Ovis aries: one gene and its partners. The protein of the gene in region 1 interacts with the protein of each later gene in a pairwise test. Links are inferred from orthologs where the notes say so. Each region holds a gene or a part of one and is shown in the gene's direction. Other genes may lie near its edges. The genes, in order: PRKCI, PARD6G and PARD6B.

What was found.
Region 2: the proteins of PRKCI (region 1) and PARD6G interact in binary tests that used the Homo sapiens proteins (3 or more experiments, as listed by UniProt). The link is inferred for Ovis aries from reciprocal best matches to the Homo sapiens genes PRKCI and PARD6G.
Region 3: the proteins of PRKCI (region 1) and PARD6B interact in binary tests that used the Homo sapiens proteins (3 or more experiments, as listed by UniProt). The link is inferred for Ovis aries from reciprocal best matches to the Homo sapiens genes PRKCI and PARD6B.

The regions. Positions count from the first base shown.
Region 1 is NC_056054.1:217,797,041-217,800,684, reverse strand, and holds part of PRKCI (protein kinase C iota type), read left to right. Parts: intron 1-806; coding exon 807-861; intron 862-1,867; coding exon 1,868-1,926; intron 1,927-3,644.
Region 2 is NC_056076.1:517,895-522,042, forward strand, and holds the start of PARD6G (partitioning defective 6 homolog gamma), read left to right. Parts: upstream 1-1,308; 5' UTR 1,309-1,505; coding exon 1,506-1,577; intron 1,578-4,148. UniProt on the Homo sapiens protein: Adapter protein involved in asymmetrical cell division and cell polarization processes. May play a role in the formation of epithelial tight junctions. The PARD6-PARD3 complex links GTP-bound Rho small GTPases to atypical protein kinase C proteins.
Region 3 is NC_056066.1:78,706,141-78,710,405, forward strand, and holds the start of PARD6B (partitioning defective 6 homolog beta), read left to right. Parts: upstream 1-1,430; 5' UTR 1,431-1,646; coding exon 1,647-1,712; intron 1,713-4,265. UniProt on the Homo sapiens protein: Adapter protein involved in asymmetrical cell division and cell polarization processes. Probably involved in formation of epithelial tight junctions.

The DNA.
Region 1 (3,644 bases):
CTGCAGAAGTAGAATTACTGGATTAAAAGATGAGCATTTTAAAAAAGATCTGCATTTGTCTTTCTGAGTTATCTTTTAAACAGGGGTCCCCAGGCTCCTAATGCCTGATCTAATGCCTGATGATCTGAGGTGGAGCTGATGTAATATTAATAGAAATAAAGTGCACAATAAATGTAATGAGCTTGAATCATCCCAAAACCCTCACACACTGGGTCTGTGAAAAAATCGTATTCCACAAAATCAGTCCCTGGTGCCAAAAAGGTTGGGGACCACTGTTTTAGAATGATTATAACATATTTATTCTTAGTACCTACTCTGGACATTGTGAAAGTATGTTTTCACTGGTAGCTCATTGGTAGTAGCATTATTTAGCTAGTTCATGTAAGTTTACAAATGGCTTTATGGTTAGAGAGGTTGAAAGCCAATCTTAACAAGCAGCAGAAAGCCAGAAATTGTGAAAAAAATTTATCCAGATTACTGATATATTCTTGAGTATTCTTAGTCAATGGAATGACTTGTGTGAGTTCATAAATGCAGAAGGATTTAAAAGGGACTGAAATTAATTTTGTGTTTTTTCTGCAATCTGTAAAATGTGGCATCACCTCATTCACAGGAATGTTGTGTTGTTTCATGTAATACAATGAAAAATAAATTGTATATAGTAATATAATCCTTACTAAGTTACATTTCAAATTTAAATTTTAATATGCTATGTCTCATCAAAATGATATTGTTCCTGGATTTATGGAAGTATTGCTATTTAAAGAGAGTCCACTAAGTTACTGTGTCTTTGGAAATGATTGTAGGAACCACTGATGCCCATGGACCAGTCATCCATGCACTCAGACCATGCACAGACAGGTAAGGATGACAGTGGCGCAAACCGTTGCTCATTAGCAAAGTGTCACCTAAAGACTTCCTTATGTGACTCTTTCCCCTAAATGTAAAGGCATTTAGATTCTTCCCAAATAAAAGCTAAGTAACCATATTTTGGGGATTTAACATCAATCACAGTATTTAACATATATGTTTGGCATTTTAAAAAGACAGCTATGTAAACTATAACAAATGACTGTTTTCTTTAATTCCGATAAAATTCTTTGAGACCTCTTCATATACCAAATCTATTTTTTTTCAATAATGAAGACATATTGATTTTGTGGACTGTTGACTCTATTCAAGTGACATTTTAAAATAAAACTCTATTATGAGATGAAGAAATGATGTAAAAGATACAGAGATGCTGTATAGAAAATTCAAAAAAGATCGTTTGAGTTCAGATGTCTAGTAGATACAAAACCTTTAGTATGTCTCTGAGAAATTTGGAGAGCAATTACATGGGACATAGCAGCCTGATGGGTGAATCAAGAAAAAGGGACTTTTTCTAGAAGGACAGAATGTGGCATCTTCTTCATGGAAGAAGCTAGTTATATGAAATGTAGGCTTTTTGGCCCTAGCTGCTTTAAGGAATAGAAGCCTAGAGTCCAATCTAGTCTAAACTGGAGACCCTCCGTCTCTTATGTCTCAGTCATACTAATATAATTAAATAGGGTTTAGAGGGTTACCTTTTTAAAAGGAATTTGTAAAGAAGAAAAATATATTTTAAAATAGCAAAAGTGTTTGTTAAAATCAGTAGTGGCTATTGATTGGTTCATTCTCTTTACCCTCATTAGAGATTAGAAGTTAACTGATATTTATGTATAATCTGTTATTAATAGGACAGATATTCAGTTTTAAATGATGAACAATTATTGAAAAATTAAAAGTAAGAAAAATTAAATGAAAAAATTTTGATTAACTTAGTTAATGTGTACTGTGTTTTTCTTTTCTTTTTTTTTTTTTTAAATGTTTGGGATTGGGTTTTTAGTAATTCCGTATAATCCTTCAAGTCATGAGAGTTTGGACCAAGTTGGTGAAGAAAAGGAGGTAAGATAATTAGTCTTATGGTATATTATGTCATCAGCTTTTTAATAGCATGTGACACTTTAAAAACGTGACAGATTGACTTGCTTAAATTTTAGGTCATACTAGAAAAATACAGGGATGATTTTTAATGATTCTAGAGTTTTATTCTGATTTTCTTTGTTAATTAAATTACTAAAATCATTTAAATTAAATAGTCTGGTGTGGTGGGATAACTTATTTTCATTTTAAGGTAGCGTAATCTAAAAATTATAATATACTTAAGAATGGTGTTTCAGAATACTTGGTAGTATTGTTTAAAATCTCGATCCTTCCATTTTATGGACTAATGGTTTATTTGAAGTATAAATAATTAAACATCTTACCTGCCCATCTTTTTTCTGACTGTTAAACAGTTTATCAGTTTTTCAAACAGTTTAATTTAAAATTATGAATTAAAGTGATAACCAATTTTTTTAAAAAAGCTTATGGTAAGATTTAGCATGCCTCACACGTTTCACTCCCACTTTGACTTCTGAGAAACAGCCTTTTTTAATCTTTTCTAGTTGTGTCCACATGTGTTTATCCCTTTCTTTTTCAGGTTTTTCAACTTTATATACTTCTGGCCACAAAAGGTTTAAACTAGTATACTGGGTTGTGCTGTGCTAAGTCGCATCAGTTGTGTCCGACTCTTTGCGACCCTACGAACTGTAGCCCACCTGGCTCCTCTGTCCCTGAGAGTCTCCAGGCAAGAATACTGGAGTGGGGTGCCATGCCCTCCAGGGGATCTTCCCCACCTAGGGATCAAACCCATGTCTTATATCTCCTGCATTGGCAGGCGGGTTCCTTCCCTTTCCATTGTTTGATAAGTGTATTATGTTTTACTCTGGGTTACCTTTTTATTACGGAAAATGTCAAGTATCAGTAAAAGTAAGCAGAATACTGTAACAACCCCCTGTGTCCATTACCCAGTTAAAACAATTGTCTGTACATGTTTTGTCTACCAGCTACTCTCACTCCCTGTGGCTTAGATGGTAAAGAATCTGCCTGAAAGGCAGGAGACCCATGTTCAATCCTGGGTCAGGAAGATCCCCTGAAGAAGGGAATGGCAACCCACTCCAGTATTCTTGGGCTTCTCTGGTGGCTCAGACAGTAAAGAATCTGCCTGCAACGTGGGAAACCTGGGTTTGATCCCTGGGTTGGAAAGATCCCCTGGAGAAGGAAACGGCTACCCACTCCAGTATTCTGGCCTGGAGAATTTCATGGACAGAGGCGTCTGGCAGGCTGTAGTCCATGGGGTCAAAAAGAGTCGGACATACTAAGCGACTTTGACTTCCCTCACTCCTGCACTGTTTTGAAGCACATCTGTTGGTTACCTATTTAGTCTCCTATCTCAGTTTCTTGTATCTCTTTTAGTTTGTTTGACATTCTTTTGCTGTTTTATTACTGGTTGTTCTAGGGATTGCATCTTACACCCTTAACTTACTTAAATTCAATACAGATTATTAATAATATGTTTACCATTTTCCAGGATATGCAAGGACCTTAGGGCACTTTAAATTCACTCATGCTCACTTCTTGGCTTTAGTGCCTTTTCTGTCCTATTTTAAAATTCTGCATGTGTGTGTTAGTGTTTTTGAACAGTCAGTCCTTGCTTTAGTTTATCCACATCTTATTCTTTTTGTTCTGTGTCCTTCCTGTGTGTCTGCTTCCGTATGAGATCATCTTCCTGAAAAACTCAG
Region 2 (4,148 bases), on another chromosome or scaffold:
TAAGTATCTCACAATATGTTTGCATTAGTTTCGCACTCTATATATACATAGAATGTTCTGAAATTTTGGAGAGGCTATATTTTTGTTCTAATTCTGTTTTTGATTACATTTAAAACCATAAGTTTAACTAATACATCCCTCTGTATGTATAATTAGCACGTTTGTATTTCTTCTTCCTTTTTCTCCTGTGAATTCAACTAAGAAAAAGTGATATATAATCTACTGAATTGGGTTGTAAATTTGTGTAGCACGCTTCACAGAACTCTTGAAGCACCTACTGGTCCTGTGTTCTTGGCTTCATCAGAGATTCCTCAAGAGCGAGGATTTCGGTTTCCGCAGCCCCGCTTCCAAGAGCGCTCTAGACAGGAAGCACCCACGACATTGCTCACACCTGACGATGTCTTTCTTCCGTTTCTCGCTTCTGCCAGCCCTGGCAGAAGTCTTCCTTCTCATCAGACAGGCCTATGGGTGCTTCTGACCCTTCCGAACCCTTTACCTTTGGCCTGTGCTAGACTACGCCTTAGGATGTTGCCTCCGTGCAGAACCTCTGCCCAAACCATCTACCACCTGGCAGCTCTAACGGACAGATGGACCCAAGGGGGTCAGGCTTCCGTGAGTCCAGTATCACCCAAGACAACGTTGAAAATCAGCCAAAACAGACCCCTTTCCTGGACGACGGGAGGAGGCTAACAAAATCTTGGCGGAAGCGAGCAAGGGAGAAAAAGTGTGGACGTCCCGGGCGAGTCAACCGGGCTTCTCTCCCCTGCTCTTGATTTTGCGGACGGGAGTGAACACCCACCCGGCAGCGGCGTCCTCGGGGGCGGGCCCGTGGGCGGGGCTCGGGGCGGGGACTGGCCGGGGGCGGGCCGACGAGCCCTGGGTGGGGCGTCGGGTGAGTCCTCGGGACGGGGGGCGTGTCCTCCAGACTCGGAGGGTGGGGCCTCAGGGCGCGAGGCTGGGCCTTGAGGCTCGTGGGGCGAGTCCCCGGGATGTGAGCCGGGTTTTCTCAGCGCCGGGCCAGTCCTTAGGGAACCGGATTAGCGGCGGGTCTACAGGGCGCCGAGCGGGACGTGGGCCCTTGGGGCTCGTGGGGCGGGTCCTCGGGGCTCCGGGCGGGTCCTCGGGGGACGGGTGCTCTGGGCCCGGGGCGGGGACTGGCGGCGGGTATTCTGGGCGCTGGGCAGGGATTGGTGGCGGATCCTCCGGGCTCGGGGCGGGACGTGGGTTCTAGGGTATCGGGGGGCGGGTCCTTGGGGCGGCGCGCGCCGCCGTACCCCGCTCCTCCCGCGCGCGGCCCCTTGAGTGCCCAAGGCGCGCGGCCAGCCCTGCTCGGGCCGCTGCACTCGAGCTGCCCCGCGGCCGAGCGAGCGCGGGCAGGGGCCGGGGCCGGGGCCGGGGCCGGGGCCGGGGCCGGGGCCACGGCGGCGGGTGGCGCACCCAGGGTCCTTCTGCAGTCCCCATAGCGAAGAGCGAGGGCGAAGCCAAGGCTAAGCGGGGCCGGAACCATGAACCGGAGTTTCCACAAGTCTCAGACCCTGCGCTTCTACGACTGCAGCGCGGTGGAAGTCAAGAGCAAGGTGAGCCGGGGGCCGGCAGTCTGCGCACCCCCCCCAACGCCCCACGAATGAATGGGCACCCCGAAGGGGACTGGGCGGCGCGAGAGGGGCCGGCGCCGACCACAACTTCGGAGCGCGGCGCGCGTCCGTGAGATGCGCCGGGGTCCCTCAGTCCTTCCCGCCCCTGCGCGCGCACAAAGCCCGGCAGCCCGGTAAGGTTCGGCTCGAGCCCCGGCGCTCGGAGGGCCGCGCGGCCGCCCGACCCTTTGCGAGAGTGGCTCTTTTGTTCCACAAGCCGGCGGCGATCCGGCGCACCGCGCGGTGGAGGGGCGATGTTTCCGGGGCGACCCGGGGGCTGATCGGATTCGGGGCCCTGGAGGGGCCTTGGGGGCCCGGGCCGGGGAAGGGCCCTGGCTGCGCCGCCTCCTTCGCAGCGGAGGAACCTTGGAACCGGCGAGGGGGAGACACGCAGCGGGTCCTCGATCCCCGGACCGGACCCCCAGTCCCCAGCACGGCCCTGCATACCAGCCCCTCAGCCTCCCGACGCGCCCCAGGCCCAGATTCCCCGGGCGCGCCGGACCAGCGGCCCCTCCCGCTGCCCGCGCCCGGGCCCAAGCGTGCCCGAACTTGCGGGTGGCTGTGCGCTTTGGATAATTGGCTGATAGGATCTGGCGCTTCTGCCCGTTGCGGGGGCGGCACCTTCGCGGCAGAAGCTTTTGTCTGCGAGGGTCTCAGGGGTGGACCTTGCCGCAGATGAAGAGCAGCAGTTGTTCGGGGTCCTGGAGGAGGGGGCCTCGGGCGTACCGCTGCCTGGGATCGGCTTTCGCCCCTTCTCTGCGCTCCCCCCGCTCGGCGCGGTCAGGCAAGGAGGAGAACCCCAGTGGTGGTAGACGGGCCAGACCCGAGGGTGGGCTCTGACCTCCAAGTCTGTGCACACTTGGTCGCCGGCGTGTGTGTCCTGGTTCGCTCTCTGGGAAGACTAACCCGATGGCCCCTGTCTGGGCTGCCCGTACCAATCAAGGTGGGGTCCTTTGACATAGGATTTGCAAGGCTTCCTCCGAGGATGGGGGTTCTCTGCAGGAGTCCCACAGAATGAGTTGTGGGATTTCGTCACATCTTGTTGGGCAGTCTATTTATGAACCCTCATATCTAATTACCTCCAATGCTAATTCTGTGACCCTGGCCCAGCACTCATCTCTTTTTAGCCCCAGAACTCCCCACACCCCCAAATCAAAAGTGACCTCTGTGAGTTGTGTGGGGGGGAGGAACCAACAAGCCTGAGTGGGAGCACCAAATAACTGACGTTTCTTCAACTCAGTGGGAATGTGGCTTCTTAGAACTCATTGTCCCCTGACAATAGCCACTGAGCACCCATGGTGTTTCACTTTAACTATTTATTTTGAGATCATCATAGATTAACAGGCAGTTGTGAGAAAGAACACAGAGGCTTCCCCACAGGTACCGTCTTGTATCACAGTGTCACATCCAGGGCCTTGCGGTGTTTTCAGGTCAGTTTGTCATGCGTGCGTTCCTGAGGCAGTCTCCACGAGGACCACTTCCATCGCGAGGGGACCTCCTGGCAGCCTTTCACCCCTGCAAGGTGGCTGTTTGGTTCTAAGTGATGAACACCCCAGGCTGTTCACGAATCTCGCTGGCCGAATGCCCTGGGCTCTGCAGCCATGGTGGCAGGCAGCTGCCTGACCAGATGCAACTCCGGAGGGCTAGCCCTGGAGGAAATGCCCTCACCAGCCTTTATCCTGCAGTCGTGCGCTCTGGACACGGTGGACCCCTGAGGCCTGAAGAGTAAGAGTCTGCCTTTGCCTCTCCCAGGGAACTGGGGGCCATAGGTGTTCTGGTGGCCCAGTGGGTTACCTCAGGCTGCCCCTCCTCCTTGACCCCCAGTGAAGAAGGAGGGCTGCCCCATGGCCCGAGCCTGGGTTCAAGTTCAGATGCAGTGACTGCTCCACCAGGGGTGAGTGGCAGAGGGGCAAAGTTTTGGTTGAATTTGGGAACAGTCCTGGAGGGCCACACCAGGCTGGGCCCTGCTGGGCTGGCTGGTTATACACACAACACCACCGCCCCAGGCCCTTTTCGATAAGGTGGTTTGTCTTACTGTCTGTCCAGTGGGGCCACCTGGCTCCCCCTTCTGTACCACTCTGTCACCCACCCACGGAGTCCATCTCTGCAGGGAGCCTTATTCCAGCTGCTCTTGTCAAAATATGGGAGGCAAACCATTATGACAGTGATGTTTTTATCCAATCTAAATGGTTCACCATAACACCTGGGTTTGCATGTGAAGAAAAATCGTGCCAAAATCCAGCCAGTTCTACCACCCAACCTTGTGAGCTTTCAGACAAGTCATTTAACTTTTCTGAGCCTTAGTTATTTCATATGTACAATGGTCATTGAACCTATTCTGGTAGCCCGACAGGATCAAATGAGGCAATGAACGGTAAAGCACCTGTAAACTGCAGGGCACCCACAGTTGTAAGAGCTAAGCCTTGCAGATCAAGACTCTGTGGCATTTCAGGATATCAGGTCTGAAAATTGCCTCTGATCCTCTCAGAATTGTTGGTGTTAGCCCTCTGCCAC
Region 3 (4,265 bases), on another chromosome or scaffold:
GTCCTTCTCCAAAATACATGGGGAACCTGGAACTTGACAAAAGGGCTGGGAAGGAGGGGTGCCCGTGTGAGGACGGATGAAGGCAGGGACGGGGCGAGAAAGGCCCAGGGCGCTCTAGCCGAATGCAGCACCCTAGCCAGCTGTTCTTGGCCATTTCAGGTTAGAACTGCCCTCCGCAGGCCCAGGTCCAGCTCACAGGAGAGTTCTACAGTTCTGTGATGAGCCCCTCTGCAGGTGGGTGGGGGGCTCTGGGGCTCTCCTCCTCACCACCCCAGCACTGCCAGTGCTGCAAAGGATCCCTGAGAGGAAAAACTCGGCTCTGAGCATTTAAAGAGAAGGATTCAGTCTTCTGTTATCAAGAACATAGCTTGGTCATTCCACAGGAGGGACAGACAAAACACAAGCTGGCGGCTGTCACTGGTGGACACAGTGAATAGCCCAGAAATGGCTGGAGGGAGAGGAAGATCCTCAAAGGTTAAACATAAATTTAAAAGACAAGGGGGGCGGGGAATCCCTGGAGGGCCGATCTAGAAGTACGGACCTTCGAGGATCCATCCCCGGCCTTTGCCCATTTCCCAGCCCTCCCAGCGCCTACTCGATCCCACGGGACCTGACTGGACTGCAGAAAGTCTCTACCAACGACATTAAGCCAGTAGAGCCCTGCGATTTTTCTCCAGTTACTGTTACAGAGGCGGGAAAACTGGAATTTTGCAATCCGAGTTGCAGCCAGACGACTAGACGCAAATGGGTGACGGAGGGGCGTTGTAGGAGGCTGCAGCATCCCAAAGTGGAAGGCGGTGCAGAAAGCCTGCAGCCCCGCAGCGCCCAGCAACTAGCCGGGAAGAGTGCCCCACGCCCCGGCGGAGCGCGAGCTCCAGCCGGGTACAGAGCAACCAGGCGCGCGCCCGCGCGTGCGCTAAAGGCCCACCCATCCCAGCGCGTCTCCAGGTGCGCTCGCGCTTCCGGCCGGCCTTCGCTGGGCGGAAACTCCAGGACTCGCGCATGCGCTTTGGAGCTCGCCTGCGGGGTCCGGAGCGCCCCTCCCGGCTTCAGGTGATCCCACCCCTCCCTCGCCGCGCGGGACCAATCGAACGGCGGCAGGCGGGCTTTTCGAGCAGGAGGCCCCGCCCACGCGCGGCGCGAGGCGGGTACCGATTGGTTGGCGCCGCGGGCGCAGGTGCGCGCTTCCCATTGGGTGGGGGCGGAGCGCGGGCTGCCGAGGCTTCGGCGGAGGCTGCAGGTGAGCGCGCGCACGCGCCGCGGCGGCGGCCCGGCCCGAGGGGAGGGAGCGCGCGCGCGCGCGGGGCCGGCAGCCGAGAGCGAGGCTGCGGCGCGTGTCCCCGCCGCTCCGCCCCCTCCGCCGCCTCCGCCGTCGCGGCCGCCGCCGAGGCCGGGAGGGCGGGCTCCGCGTCCCCGCCCGCCGCGCCGCCAGTCCGACCCTCGGTCCTGCAGCGTGAGGAGCCAGCCGAGCGGGGCCTGGCGCGGAGACGCGAGCCGCGGCCGCCCCTCTGCAGGTGCCTGTGAGGAGGAGCCCGGGCCGCCGCCGCCGCCGCCGCCGCGTCCCGAGCCCGCCGGCCGCGCACTCGCCCCGCGCGCCCCCGAGGGGCGGCCCGGCTGGAGGAGGCCGCCGCGGGCCCGGCCTCAGGATGAACCGCGGCCACCGGCACGGGGCGGGCAGCGGCTGCCTGGGCACCATGGAGGTGAAGAGCAAGGTGCGCGGGCCCGGGCAAGCTGGGGGCCCCCGGGGGCGGGGGGCCGCAGTGACCGGGCCTGGGGCCCCCAGGGGCTGGCCGGGTGTATGGGGCCGCCGGGGCCGCGCTGGGGGGACTTGGGGGCTGGAGACGGTGGGGAATGAACTTGCCGAGGATTGGCGGCGGGGGGCCCTTGTGTCCGCTCCCGCCCCCAGGTAAGGCAGGAGCCCCACCGAGCGCTTAATCCCCTTCCGTGAGCAATCATTCCCCTTCAAGGATGGGAGTCAGGCCCAAGGCATACCCGAGGATGGGGGGGCATTTGAGCGAGCGCAACGTGGTACGAAAGGTTTGGAGGAATTCTGCCTTCTGGCATGTGAGTAAAGAGTTTGAAACATCCGTAGTCACCCAAATGTAAAAGTTAGCCTTTGCTTCCTGTAGGGATTTTTCGAACACGAACTTTGGTATGCATTGAATCTTGTAAAGTGAACACTGTCACCTTTCGGGTGAGTGGCACTTAGCAGTTTTGAGTTTGGATGCCCTTCTCATTCCATCCTGCTACTCTTTCAGGTCAAGTGTTTTTTCCCTCTTGACCAACGGTATGCCTATCTGCCGATGACAACGTGTGGGTATCCTCTGAATTCCTAAATTGCAAGGCTCCCTGAGCAGGACAGTGTATCGGGATTAGTGAGGGAATGCTTTCTAAGGGAGGTTTTGAGCTGGAATTTGAAGACGATCGGCAGCCCCAAGAACATTCTCAAGCAAGCATTTCATGAATTGAAGAGCCAGAAGGGACTTAGATAATCTAGTCTGATTCTCGGAGAAGACAGGGGCTCAGAAAGGTTTTGACTTCAACAAGCTCTGCTTTTTATGACAAAACCTTAAAGCCCTTTTTACAAGATAAGTTTTAGGCCTTCTGGAATACTAAAGAGAGCACGCGGAGCTGAGCCCCCTGAACGTTTAAAATAAGAGTTGGAAAGATCAAGACACAGGGAAGAGTAGGAGAAAAGGAAAAGCGTATTAACTTCAAAAATAATGAAACCTTACTGAATATAAGATAACAGGGATGTGGTAGAAGGGAGAACGCAAAATCAAGGAGTGATTTTCAGTGAAGGAGAGTAAGGAAGGCTCTCTGGGGTAGAAGGGTTTTTATTATCTGGAGTTGATAAGTGAAGTCCTGTAAGTTGCCATAACTGAGATCTGCATTCATTTTTAACATTTTAAGACATCATTTTCAACTTAACTGGTATCACAGTAGGTACTAATTTCAAAAACCCTTCTGCTTAATAAGAACAGAAATATAGCAGGTTCAGAAATACACTGTCTCCTGTGTCCTCCATGGAATTGCCATGGCAAATTGAAGTGACATGCTTGAACTAAGAGTTAAGATAACAAAATATATAGCGAGTTTTTCCTCTAGCATATAGTGGTAGTAGTGGTTCTGTGGCCAATGGTTGAACCTTCTCACAGCATTTCTGTTATAAATCTAGTTTGGGTTTGTGGGAGTTGAGGTTAAGGAAAGAAAAACACGATATTGCGTAATCTTAAAATTCAGTTTGTGGTCCTAATCTTGGTAGCAAGTCTTTAACTTTTTATCATAGGAAAAAAATGAGTAGGGATTCTAGGTGCTCTGATTAAATACAGTCAAATGGTAATTTATCTTTCAGATTAGGAAACCTTGAGCGTGTAGGGACTAGAATTTCAGGCTTTCCATGCTTCTCTTCTGTCAACTGGTTTGTGAATCTTTCCCACACTACCCATTATATATTTGGCCTGCTCTTCTGGTAAACCGTAGCTCTTAAACAGAATCAAGGGTCCCACTCATTCTAGCTGCTGATCAGTAGGCACAGGGGAAGTACAGTTTCCAGTGCGTCTCTGACACCTTGTGTTTTAACTGTACATTTATTTTTAAGGGGTTAAAGAAAAGCACTTGACATCTTCACCATTTAAACAATATTTGGACAGATAGGTGGAACAATATGTCCATTTTCACTGCTTTGGTGGTAATATTACAGCTTTTTACAAAGTTGATAAGGAAGAGGTTGTGACCCCAACTCTGTGGTATGCAGATCCACATTTCAGGATTTCTTTTTCTTCTACATAAAAAGCAAGTTGTCAACGTCATGTCTTTGCTCATGGAAGGAGAAAATGCTACAAATAAAGTAATGGATCATGCAAATATAAGTATAGTTAAGTTGTGATACCAGTTACCATGTGACTTTTCTTTACAGTAACTTTCTGGTAACATTTATCTTCCTGTATCTATAGAGTTGAGAGAGCTATTAATAATCAAGGAGATGTCCTTCAGCAGTCTTGGATGTCAAAGACCTGGAATAGTCATTGAGCTGTACATTTCCTGGTTATTATTCATGGGGAACCAATACTAAAATCAAGTTTACATTTCTAAAGTGTTGTACCTAAAAATGCTGGGTGATGGGTGTCCATCCCCATGACCAGGCCAAACTAGACCAGGCTAAAAAAAAGTTTGAATAGTTGTTGATTGAGTCTTAATTTTATCTCTATTTTTGTATTTTTTTTCACGTGGTAAAAAGTTCTCTTAATCCTGTTGTGCTGCAA